Ovis aries: one gene and its partners. The main gene of each other region encodes a partner of the protein of the gene in region 3 in a complex. Links are inferred from orthologs where the notes say so. Each region holds a gene or a part of one and is shown on either strand. Other genes may lie near its edges.

Region 1 (3,803 bases), on a different chromosome or scaffold from region 3:
TTGTTGACCAAGCCCCCCTCCAGGCCTGGCCCAAAGGCCCGGACACGGGTGGGGTCACAGCCCTCAGTCACGCCCACCCGGAAGGGGCTCTTGGGCACTGCCACGTCATCGTACAGCACCTCCACCAAGTGTGCTCCTGGAAGTCAGCCGCACGGCGCAGGTCAGAGTGTGCGCGGCCCCCACCACCCGCCCCTCTGAAAACGCTGGGGCCAGACCCCCGCCATCCCCGCCCAGCCAAGCCCCTCACCCTCTTCGTAGGCCGTGTACTGCACGCGGTAGGTGCCGTCCCCGTTGTCGGTCACGTAGGTGTCCGTCTTAGCGCCCGAGGGGTTGAGCACGCGAGCCGTCACGTGGTTCCCACCCGTGGCTGTCAGGGATCTCGCGTCCACAGTGAACTCGGTGGTCACTTCACGCAGGACACCTGGGTCCCAGGAGACGAGTGCTCAGCCCTCACCCGGCTGCCCACCCCTGCCCTCCCTCCCCAGCTCCGAGGCGGCTCCTCTCCACCTGCTACTCCCCAGCCTGGACCATCCCCACAGCCCAGGCCCTGCCTCCCACAGCCCCTGTCCTCCCTCCCTTCAGCAGATAGTGACATTCTGCTCACCTGAGTCTCCCCACCCAGCTGTGGGCCCCTGGAGCATGGGGCTGGCTCTTGCAACCCTCTGCATGCCCCCTCCTGCCTGGCCCAGGGTCTGGCCCCCAGCAGATGGTAACTCAGTCACTGAACTGAGCTGAACCATCTCCTGACTCTCGTCGCCCTCGACCCCAAAGCCTTCCCTCTGTACCATCAAGTGCAAGATTCTTTGATTTTCAGATCGGCTGATGAAAGTTGAGGATCTCCCGAGGAAAATGGCCACAGGCAGAAGCAACCTTGCCACCCAGACCAAGGCAAAGCCCCACACCCTGCCCTTGGCTTTGATACCTTCTCAGGGGTGTCTGAGCCCCCGGGACGCCAGCGCTGCCCTCTAAGCCCTCAGCCCTGCTTCCCTCTTCCCCTGACCGGTGACGTGACCAGCTCCAGGTTTCTCCCACTCACCATGCGGCTCCACACCGGGCCCTGAGACCTTGACCCCGCTGGTGTCGACCGCGGGCTGCACGTGAACGCGGGTGGGGAACTTGGGTACAGGGTGCCCGCCGTACTTGATGGTAATGGTGTAGGTGCCGGGGAAGGCGGGGCTGTAGGTGATGTGGTAGGTGCCGTCCGCGTTGTTGTGGATCAGCACCTCGGCCTTGACGCCGGCGTCCGACAGGATCTCAATGGTCAGCTCGGCCTCGCCCGCCTCCGAGCAGTCCACAGTGAAGGTGGCCGCCTCCCCAGCCTTGCCGCGCTCCAGGCCTGGCCCGCTGGCCCGCACCTTGCTCGGGTCAAACACGGGCCGGATGGTAGCCTTGAAGGGCGAGCCGGGGATGTGGGCTTCGGCAAACAGGATGTTGATAGTGTACTCGCCCGGCTCTGTGGGCAGGTAGCTGACGGCACAGGATCCATCCCCATTGTCCTGGCACTCGATCTTGGCCTCGCAGGGGCCCTCCACGGTCAACCCCAGGCCACCGGTGCCCGCTCCCTTGGTGTCGATGGAGAAGGGAGCTGGTGTACCTACCAGCCCGCCCTTGAGACCAGGGCCGTAAGCACAGACCTAAAAGAAGGAGCAGGTGTGTGGGTTACCTCGACTGTTCCCACGTCCAGCCTTCGTGGTTCCCAAATCAGCTAAGCACTCGCAACTATAGCAGCTCCCACAGGCTGAGTCCTGATTACAATTCCAGGTGAGGAAACGCAGGGAGATTAAAACCTTTGTCCTGGCTGATGGACTTGGGATTGAAGCCCAGATCAGATCCAAGGCCAGGTTCTAAATAACTAAGCTGTCTTGATATGAGTTTTTATATATGGAATAGATAAACAAGGTCCTACTGTATGGCACAGAGAGCTATATTCAATATCCTGTGATAAACTATAATGGAAAAGAATATTTTGTAATGTATGCATTTGTATGCATATATAACCGAATCACATTGCTGTACAGCAGTAATACAACATTGTAAACCAACTATACTTTAATAAAAATATAAAAAACAAAAACTAAGCTGTCTCATAGGCAAGTCCTGAGTTGGGGGACTGCCTCGGCTCTGGGCCCTTGGCTGTGCTCACCCCAGGACATGAGGCCTCTGGCCTCGGCCCCTGTGAACTACCCACCTTCCCTACAAGCCCCCAGCTCCCACCCACCCCTACTTCCTCACCTTGGAGGGGTCAGGGGGCAGGACGCCCTCCACGGTGAAGGGGCTGCCAGGCACTGGGTGACCATCATAGGTGATGTCCACTTTGTAGGGCCCCTCCTCAGGGGGCATGTACCGCACCGCCTGGGTCTCAGCTCCACCGCCAGGCTCCAGCTTGCAGGGGATGGGTCGTCGGGAGGGAGAGGTCATCCGCACGTCCAGCTGGCCCTGACCGCCAGCCCCTCGTGTGTTCACAGAAAATGACTGTTCCTGCCCCACAGCCACCTCTGTGTGAAGGGTGAGGGACACGGTGAGCAGAGATTCCAACCCACCACCCCCCTCAACCCTCCTCACTGCATGGGCAGCTCCTGCCCCACTTACTGCTGTTGAGGCCTTGAACCTTGACTTTGCTGAGGTCCAGCGGCGGTGCCACATTCACCACGAAGGGGCTCTTGGGGACAGGGTCTCCACCATAGGTCACTGTCACCGCCATGTTGCCCTAATGGGTACAGCAGGACGTCAGAACTGCCAACATGTCCTCGGCGACACAGACCAGAGGCTCAGAGACCCAGGGCAAGAGAGGATGGGGAGGCAGGAAATGGGCCAAGACCCCAAACAGGCCCTCTGGGACTGGAAGAAGGAGCTCCACGCTCCCAGTCAGCCAGGACAGGAGGGCCGGGGGGCGGGGCACACCTGCTGCACGGCCGTGTACTTGACGGTGTAGGAGTAGTCATGGTTGTCGATGATCTCGAAGTCTCGCACAGCTTCTCCCTTGGCGGCCCCGGCAAAGTGCACGTCCAGCTTGGCCTTGCCAGCTCCCTTGGTCAGCACCGTGAAGTGAGTGGGCTTCCCAACTTCCACACCTGGAGCACCCATCCCGAGATGGTGGTGAGGGATTGGTGGCCATCCAGCCCAGCCCGGCCCAGCCCAGCCCGGCCCGGCCCAGCCCCGCACAGCCCAGATAGCTACCTGTGCGGTTCAGCCCAGGACCCTCTGCCTTGACCTTGCTGGCATCGTGGGATGGGTCCACCTTGATGTGGAAGGGGCTGGCGGGGATCTCCTGGAGGGAGAAAAGGCTTGGTCAGGGTGGACATGGACAGTGTCTGAATCGAGTCCCTTGTCTCTTTTGCTTCCTCTGAGGCACGTTGTCCACACACAGGAAGTGCTCAATCAGGGGCAGTAGAATTGTCCCCAAATGACAGCCTCTCAAGCTGCTGGTTGGGATGGGGTAAGGGGCTGAGGTTAGGGTTGATAACCAAAACCCACGCACAGGGTACCTGGTTGGCAAACAGCACCATGATAGTGTAGCGGCCCGCCCCTGGAGGTGTGTACTTGACTGTGAAGGTGTCGTTGTCATTCTTAATGATGTCAAAGTCAATGTCAGCCTCTGCAGGGCCCACCACGCCAGGGGCGCACTTGATGCCAATGCTCACATCGCCTGAAGGGAGGCAGGCACGAGGCCATGAGTCAGGGGCTCGGCAACCTCCTGCACGTGACGGGGACCACTCCGGGGAATAGGTGGAGGGTACCAGCGCCTCCTGCCCGGACACCCCCAGCCCCACCCCCACTCCCTGCTCCTGCACGCACCTTGCCCT
Region 2 (3,903 bases), on a different chromosome or scaffold from region 3:
CTCGCCGGCAGCCGAGAGAAAGGGCCCGATCCGAAGGGGCGAGCCCTTGGAGAGCGCGGGTCTGGAGAAGGCTCTGCTGCCCGCGCCGGGCGTGCGTGCGCCACGCCAGGGAAGGCCGTAGCCGCACGACCCTAAGCCGCCCCCCAGACCCCCAGAACCCCAGAACCCCAGAACCCCTGCCCCAGCAAGCCTTCCCGCTCTGCAGGATCCTGGCCTGCGCCCGCCGGTCCCAACCGCCTCCCTCCCTCCCCCCTGCACCCCAGAGGAAATGGGGCACTGGGCCAGGAGGCCACCGGCGCTCCAGGAGCCAGCAGCCTTGGAAGGGGCCTGGGCATGCCAATGGGCACTGGCACGGGGTGCCCTGTGATGCGATGCATGCAGAGATGGCGGGTAAGCCTGCCTCACCCACCGGCAGTCTACCAGAGGCGCGAGGGGCTTCCCCTCCGTGGCTGGGATGGCCCCTGAGCCCAGCGTGACCCAGGAGGCTGCCAGAGGGACCTGCCCCGGGCTTCCGATAATGCACTCTGAGCACCTGGGTCTCAGTGGGCTTCGGGGTCGTGGGAGAACAGAGGAGGCCTCCCGGACAGGGGGGCCAGGGGACTGAGGGGGGGCAAACCATGAAAGGCAGCTGGGGCCTGCCGTGGAGCCAGGACTGGGTACTGGGGACCTATTCGCTCAAAATACATTTTCTTGTAGATAACTGGAGACTATGGGGGGGATACTAAGACCAACAAAGGCACAGAAGCAAGAGGCCTGTCAGGGACAGTCACTGCCACCTTCTTCAGTCTGGAGAAGCCAGCCTACTGGTGGCTTCGTCCCCAGAGTGGACTCACTTCCCTCGGTCCTGTGTCCTTCCCCTCTGCAGGATGTTCCCTTCTTCACATCTTTTTTTTTTTTTCCCCCAGAAAGGCATGTCTCTGTCCCTCCTGCTTCGTACTTAGATCGAGCTTCCTACTAGCAGTACCTCAGTTCTCTGCTAAAGACCAGTGGGAAAGAAGCCCCTAGGTCAGCATGCCCAAATAAGGCCAACTCTCACAGCCCTGGGGACTGTGTCACCCACAGTGGGGCTGCAGTCAGCACCTGGCCTCCAGCATGCTCTCTTTGGGGCTGCCTGGTACCCCACACTGGTTTTTGCTCACCAGTGACATTTTTCAGTCTAAAGGCCTGACCACTTTAGACACACCTGCGCAAAATTCCACACCATGGTGTCTGGGGACTGGGATGGAGGTGGGAGTGACAGCAGTAGAGGGGGACCCGTGCAGACTCCTCCCTAGCAGGCCCCACCCAAGCAGAGATGAGAGCCATCCTTCTGATCCCCTGCCCCCCTGAAGAGCCAGTCCCCCAAGGAGAGAATCATACTGAGAGTTCATTGTCACTTGACAAGTGCCATCCAGTTGCATTATCTGTGTTCTTTTCTTAATCTGCAGAGAGCAGGGAAACTGAGTCAGCGTCAGTAACCAGCAGCCAACTCCAGCAGAAAGGGGGACAGAAGCCCTGGCTGCCAGCCTTAGGCTTCTTCCCTATTTGGGGGGTGATAAGAGATGGGGCTCTAACGAGTTCTTGTCCCCAGGGGACATAGTATCACCACCAGGTGGCGCCCCATCCCAAAGCCCCCAGATAGGGCAGTCCCTGGAAGCTGAAATACAGCTCTTTCATATTTTCCCTTATTTGGAGTCGATTTCTTGGATGTTGTTAGACACACCCCGCCTCCCACCCCAACTCCTTCCCTCAGACCCCAAGCCAGGCCCTCCCACGGCTGGTGAAAGAGAGGCACAGGGTGGCAGGAGAGGCTGCCCAAGCCCAGGTGTGGCAGGCAGGCTGACAACGCTCCAGGGCTGAATTCCCACCTTGACTGCGCTGCTAGGAGCCCGTGCAGGTGGGTCTCCCAGCGGCCGTCACCTACTCCTCCTGGCCCAGGAATTGGGGTGGGTGGGGGTGGGGGGCTGGCCTTCACATCCTGCCTGGCAGTGAACATCCAGCTCAGAGCCAACCTGGGACAGGGCCCAGCCTCGAATCTAGCATGGCCAACCCCATGTGCCCTCGCCCCAGTGGAGCGCAGCAGCCCAGAAGCCAGCCCCACACCTCTACCCAACGCAGCCAATGCCCAGAGCACTGATGTCAGGGAGGAACCGACCGTCGACATCCCTCCTGGGGGCATATTGGCTGCAAAGTGTCTTTCCAGGTGGCCTCTCGCCCTGACCCCACACAACGTCCTGCTTCAGAGCCCTGCCTTCCTGGACAGTCATGCAATGACCTGCCCCCCAGTTCACCCTCCCAGGGCACCCCCATGGCTGTTGGGCTCTCACACTGCGGGGCCAGACCCAGATTCCCCAGGAAACCAGGGAAGGCGGCTGCACCACCACACCCCGGCTTGCAGCTGGCCCCGGGCACCCCACCACCAACTCCGTGAGCTGCCCGCCGACCACTCTGCTCGGTGCCCGCCAACCGCTCCGCCCGGTGCCCGCCGCGGACGCCTCACCTTCTCTCCCTGCGGGCGGCCGGCGGCCGCGGGGTGGCGCCTGGCAGATCTTCGAGCCCGCGCCTGGCGCCTCGGGGCTCTGCTGGCGTCTGCTGCGCGCCGGGCGCCTCCACGCGAATGGGCCGCTGCCGCCCGCCTTCTTGTTGGCCGCACCCCCGCCCCGCACCCGGCCCGACTCGGCCCGACGAGAAAGCCTTAATTGGTAAAAATCACCCAGGAGCGGGGCGGGGGGGGGGTTTCGAGGGGGGGCCCCGCGGGGGCGCGCCGTGAGCTCAGGCGCCTGGGCAGCCGGCGACGCCCCCCTACCCCCGTTGAGATGAGCTCACCCTCTGCTGACGGGGAGGGGCGGCCCGGAGGGTCTGCAGAGCCTGCGTCTCGGCCCAGCAACGAAGGCCACCTCCTCCAGGGAGCTGCCCAGTCTTGCGCCGCCCCCCTACCTTTACCCCAAGCCTGGGGCTGGTCGGACTAGTTGGATTCTACCTTGGAGGGGGAAGTGCAACAGGCTCTAGCAGGTATGCACTGAGAGCCTCCCACCTGAAAGTCTGCACGGGGGCAGGGACCTGAGCCCCAAGACAAGCCAAACAACATCCCGGGCTGGCATGGGTTTGGCCCCTGCCCAGTGCCAGGCCTGGCCTGGAAGCAAGCAACAGAAGTGGACTGAATTCTCAGCAGCACAGTTAGCTGCAGTCCTGAGGCCTGGGCATGGACAGTGGGGTGCAGCCGAGGAGCCAAGCGTCTGGGGAACTAGGTGGGCACAGCCACACCCTGGCACTGCCAGGCTCCCTCTTCGTCTTCTGTGTGCCCATTTCCTGGTATTAACAGCGTCGTATTCAGCTCAAATGTCACTTCCTCGGGGAAAGCCACACAAAGCAGTGTCTTCTCACTGTGCCCACAACCCCCACAAAGAACTGCATCTTACATCCTGAGCCAATATTTGCAGGCACACACGCAGATCGACACAAATGGCTGAAATAAACGTTCCACGAAGTGAGACTGTCCCTTACCACCTGAAAAGCACTCTGATCTTTCTTCTTTTATTCTACTTCATTAAAGGAGAAAAAGCAAAGAAGGGAGCTGCTGCTGCTGCTAAGTCGCTTCAGTCGTGTCTGATTCTGTGTGACCCCATAGACAGCAGCCCACCAGGCTCCGCCGTCCCTGGGATTCTCCAGGCAAGAACACTGGAGTGGGTTGCCATTTCCTTCTCCAAAAAGAAGGGAGGGAGGGAGGCAAAAGGGGAGAAGCAGGAAGGAACAGGGGGGAAGAAAGGAGAAGTCTGCTGTCACCTGCTAACGTAGTTTGATATCTACAGCTGCACACTAACAGGAAGGCACTGATTGCCCTCCAGGCCTCTCCGCAGCCACTGCTGCCTTTGTTGGCAATGACCTCTCCACCTTGACCCCAGGTGAGATCGCCTAGCAGTGGCC
Region 3 (3,903 bases):
GGCAGGGGTAGGGCTGGCTGACCAGGAGGGCCTCCAAGGATGGGGGTGGTCCCCCACCATGCCCTCTGTCCCTGGTCCTACTCTTCTCAAACCCTGTGGGACCTCCTCTAAGCTGTGCTCTTCAGTACTCCGAGAAAGCAGCCTAGGCTTGGTTGGGAGTTAAACTGCAGGCAGGGGGAGTGAAACTGAGCCCCCTCTCCTGGCCTTGGAGCCTGGGACAGAAAGGCCTCTCCCTCTCTCCCACCCCAGGGAAGTGGAGGAGGCCCATAGGGCTGAGTTCATCCCCAACCCCACCTCTTTCCTGCTGGGCCACCCTAAGCAGGTCACTGAACCTCTCTGGGCCTCTGTTATTTCAAAGAGTGGAAATAATGAGGTCTTTTTGGAAGGGTGGCTGAGAGCATAAAAGAAGAGGGGGTGCTCAAGATCTTGGTACTGGGTAGGTGCCAAGAGAAAGCGGATAGTTACTCAGTACCTCAGGAGAGGCGGAACCCCCGGGGCCCTGAGAAGACCAGGAGTTGGCTTCCATCAATGAGAAGAACAGGGATCCGGGCGCTGCCCAGTCTCTCCGCGGGGTCCTCAGATTCTGGGCTGGAGGAGGACTCAGGGCAGGGCGCCCCAGGCACATACCCTGGGAATAGCTCAGCCCCACCCCTTCCCAGCACCAACCCCCCCCCCAGAGGATATGAGGCCCAGAGAGGGGCAGTTCCGCGGCCCCTCCTGCCCCTCGCCTAACCCCGGCTGGGGCAAGAGGCCCGGAGCTTCCAGGGCCTTGGGAAGCCCGGCGCCCTCCCGCAAGCAGCCAGGCGGGGCGGCTGGCAGGGTCACGGTGGGGCGCCGCCGGGGACTTTAGTTCGATCCGTGTGCGGGACGCTGTCCTCTTTGTGCGGGAGCTCCCGCCCTGCTTCTACCGCTTCTCTCCGCGAGCCGCTCCGCGGCAGGGACGTCCGCGCTGCCTCCAGACCCGCCCTCCCTCCGCCCGGGGAGCAGAGACCCGCACCCCCGGCCCCCAGCCCCGCGGGCCCCCCTGGGAGCGCCGGAGTTGGGGTCCGGGCCGGGGAGCAGGGCTGCGCGCCGGCCAGGGGCTGCCCGCGCTGTCACCTGTGTGTAGCCGGGGGCGCGGACGGCAGGACGGGACCCCCCCCCCCCCCCCCGCTCCGCTTACCTGAGCCGCCCGCGCCCCCTGCGGCTCCGGTCGGTCACCCGATCGAGCAGAGCCAGGAGCGGCGCGGCGCCTCCCGCCCCCTCCGCCCTCCCCGCCCCCTCGGCTCCCTCCGCCCCGCCGCCGCGGCCGCCTTACCATAAAAGGTGAAGCTTGGGGGAGGGGGCCCGGGCTCGCGGCCGGGCGGAAGCGGCCCCTACCTGCCCCCCCACCTGCCGGCCGCGCCCCGCGCCGCCCCCTCCCCGTTCCCTTTGTTCCCTCGACCCCTCCTCCCTTCCCCTGGGCCCAGGCCTGGAGGGTGGGCGGCCTCCTCGGGTGCCCACTCTCCTCGTCCTTTGTGAACCCAGAGTGCTCCTCCCCCAACCCCCTCCCCGAGGTCGCCTGGGGTGGTGGCCCCACCAGTTTGGCCTGGGATCTCCCACGGTCTTAAGGATCGGGTGGGACCTGGATTCCCCGGACGCTCACTAATCCTGTGACACTAGGCATTCATTCCACCTTCTTGAGCCTCAGTTTCTTCGCCTCTAAAATGGGGCTAATGACCTGTCTGGCCCCTAACGCCTTCTGCAGGTGGGTCCCCAGAGTCCTGGGGGGACAGGGTCCTCCGGGAAGCCTGGTAGACAGGGCCTCGCTGGCAATCAGATTACCCGGTTTGCCACGCTGGACCCGGCATCTGACCCCTCCACTGCTCCAGCCTCCTGCTCCTCTGTCCCCCAAACGTGGAATGGGGAGGGAGAAGCCCAGCCTGGGCTCTGGGGCAGGAGATGGAGCCTGGATGGGCCGCCTGAGTCCCTGGAGGCCCAGGGAACATTGCTGGGAAAAGGAATCTGGGTCTGATTCAGAGGCAAACAGATTGCTCTTTTGATTAAAGCCACAGTGGCGGAGGCCAGGGGAGTGCTGGGGCCGGCACCGTCTGCAGGGAGGCCAGGTAGGGTCTGGCTCTCCTCTGTGGGCCCAAAGCTGCAGTCACGCTGCTGGCTGGAGGGCTCTGGGGCTGTTCTTGGGGGTCATGCTTCTGGGGGCTGGTGGGGGGCGCTGAACACCCTGTCCTGTGCTTCTCTTCCTCCCCCACCCTGCCTCCCTAAATCCCTCACTCGTGTTTGGTCACCTCTCCCATCCTGCTCTGCATCCCTTTTTCCTTTCCATCCTCACAGCCAGTCCTGTAATAACGACAGTAGTAACAGTAGCTGCTGTTCATAGGGGCTTCCTATCTGATGCTCGGCCTGCAGACCTTTCCATTTAATTCCCGGGAGAGCCCTATGGGAAAAGGCTGATTATTCCTGCTTCACAGATGAGGAAACTGAGGCACAGAGAGGCTCAAAGCCGACACAAGAGGCAAATGGCAGAGCTGGATTCCAACCCACAGCAGCAGGTGCCCCTGGGTACACACGCCACCCTGCAGGTCCCAGCGGCTGGCGAGACTGCCACCCTTCAAGCTGCAAAGACAGGTGACTCCCTCTCTTTTCAGCAGAGAGAGACTCGCACTCAAGGCTGCCTGAGCCCGTGGTCAGGGTCATTCCCCTGCTTGACAAGGTTACCTCCCTTTGCAAGCACCCCTTGGAACAAGATCTCTATACCTTCCCCAGGAGGAAGGAAAAATCCACTGGATGCCAGCCATGGGAAGGACCCTAAGGAAGAAGGTTTGATCCAGGGGTTTTCAGACCCTTTTAGCCATAGAACTCCCTTTTAAAGTGCATTGTGACTCAGAAGCTTATTTAAAGCAAATAAAAATGTTGCTACCTTCCCCTCACCTCCATGATACCTCCCCTAAGCACCTACCACACCTCCAGGTGGGACAGTGAGGTTGATGTGGGGCCTAAGGTCTCACTGACTCCAAGCAGGATCTAAGCCTTCCCTGCTGCTAAGCTAAGACTGGCTTGGAAGAGGGCAGGTCCAAGGGGAATGTGGAGTCCAGCTGCTGCCACTTACCAACTGTCCAGCACCTCTTTCCCACCTCTGCTGCTGCTCCCGGGGGGAGAGGAGCGTCCCGGACAAGGGAGTCTAGCGCCAGCCTTGGTGTCTGTGTCACCTCGGCAGGTGCCCGGCTTCCTGCAATGGAAACCCAGGAAGTGCACTGGATAAGAACACACGCCCTTTGTCTGCCAGCTTAGAGGCTCTGCTCCCCTCCTCCTGTCCTGCCAGCCTGGAACAGCTTTCTCCTAAGCCACTGAGCAAAAAGATTCGATCTGTTAGGTTTGCAGCAGCCGAGACCCTATAGAAGGACTATATTCATTGGGAGGACTGATGCTGAAGCTCCAATACTTTGGCCACTTGATGCAGAGGGCTGACTCATTGGAAAAGATCCTGACGTTGGGAAAGACTGGGGGCAAAAGGAGAAGGGGACAACAGAGGATAAGATGATTGGATGGCATTACCGACTCAACGGACATGAGTCTGAGCAAACTCTAGATGGTGAAGGACAGGGAAGCCTGGTGTGCTGCAGTCCATGGAGTCACAAAGAATCAGAAATGACTGAGAGCCTGAACAACAAGCTGAGACCCTGCATGGCAGGGAACGTGGGTGAGAGGCTGGAGAGTAAGATTTAGGGCAGTGGGGACATTTGCCGCTGTCCAGTCTGCTGGGGAACCTCCTACCCAAAGAGCAGTTGAGCACCTGCTGTGTGCTCAGCTCGAGTCACGGAGCCCACGAGAATCAAGTCAGGTGTCACCAGTCCTGGTATCCACAGGGGCTTCCCCAGTGGCCCAGACGGTAAAGAATCTGCCTGCAACGTGGGAGACCTGGGTTTG

The links.
Region 1: the proteins of FBLIM1 (region 3) and FLNC are in contact, whole or in part, in an NMR structure (PDB 2K9U), measured with the Homo sapiens proteins. The link is inferred for Ovis aries from reciprocal best matches to the Homo sapiens genes FBLIM1 and FLNC. Residues at the interface, in NP_001337080.1 of Homo sapiens: Arg8, Val9, Ala10, Ser11, Ser12, Val13, Phe14, Ile15, Thr16, Leu17, Pro19; in NP_001449.3 of Homo sapiens: Thr2339, Ala2344, Gly2345, Gly2346, Leu2347, Ser2348, Ile2349, Ala2350, Val2351, Glu2352, Gly2353, Pro2354, Ser2355, Lys2356, Ile2359, Phe2361, Asp2380, Glu2382, Phe2387.
Region 2: the proteins of FBLIM1 (region 3) and FLNA are in contact, whole or in part, in a crystal structure (PDB 4P3W), measured with the Homo sapiens proteins. The link is inferred for Ovis aries from reciprocal best matches to the Homo sapiens genes FBLIM1 and FLNA. Residues at the interface, in NP_001337080.1 of Homo sapiens: Lys7, Arg8, Val9, Ala10, Ser11, Ser12, Val13, Phe14, Ile15, Thr16, Leu17, Ala18, Pro19, Pro20; in NP_001104026.1 of Homo sapiens: Met2207, Gly2208, Thr2263, Arg2264, Gly2267, Ala2268, Gly2269, Gly2270, Leu2271, Ala2272, Ile2273, Ala2274, Val2275, Glu2276, Gly2277, Pro2278, Ser2279, Lys2280, Ala2281, Ile2283, Phe2285, Cys2293, Glu2306, Phe2311.

Annotation. Positions count from the first base shown.
Region 1 is NC_056057.1:94,508,374-94,512,176, reverse strand, and holds part of FLNC (filamin-C), read right to left. Parts: coding exon 3,796-3,803; intron 3,647-3,795; coding exon 3,486-3,646; intron 3,269-3,485; coding exon 3,178-3,268; intron 3,072-3,177; coding exon 2,902-3,071; intron 2,708-2,901; coding exon 2,590-2,707; intron 2,496-2,589; coding exon 2,233-2,495; intron 1,635-2,232; coding exon 1,037-1,634; intron 422-1,036; coding exon 248-421; intron 137-247; coding exon 1-136.
Region 2 is NC_056080.1:80,076,530-80,080,432, reverse strand, and holds the start of FLNA (filamin-A), read right to left. Parts: upstream 2,595-3,903; 5' UTR 2,480-2,594; intron 1-2,479. UniProt on the Homo sapiens protein: Promotes orthogonal branching of actin filaments and links actin filaments to membrane glycoproteins. Anchors various transmembrane proteins to the actin cytoskeleton and serves as a scaffold for a wide range of cytoplasmic signaling proteins.
Region 3 is NC_056065.1:51,111,634-51,115,536, forward strand, and holds the start of FBLIM1 (filamin-binding LIM protein 1), read right to left. Parts: upstream 3,021-3,903; 5' UTR 1,968-3,020; coding exon 1,804-1,967; intron 1,510-1,803; exon of another isoform or gene 1,298-1,509; intron 1,228-1,297; exon of another isoform or gene 473-1,227; intron 1-472. UniProt on the Homo sapiens protein: Serves as an anchoring site for cell-ECM adhesion proteins and filamin-containing actin filaments. Is implicated in cell shape modulation (spreading) and motility.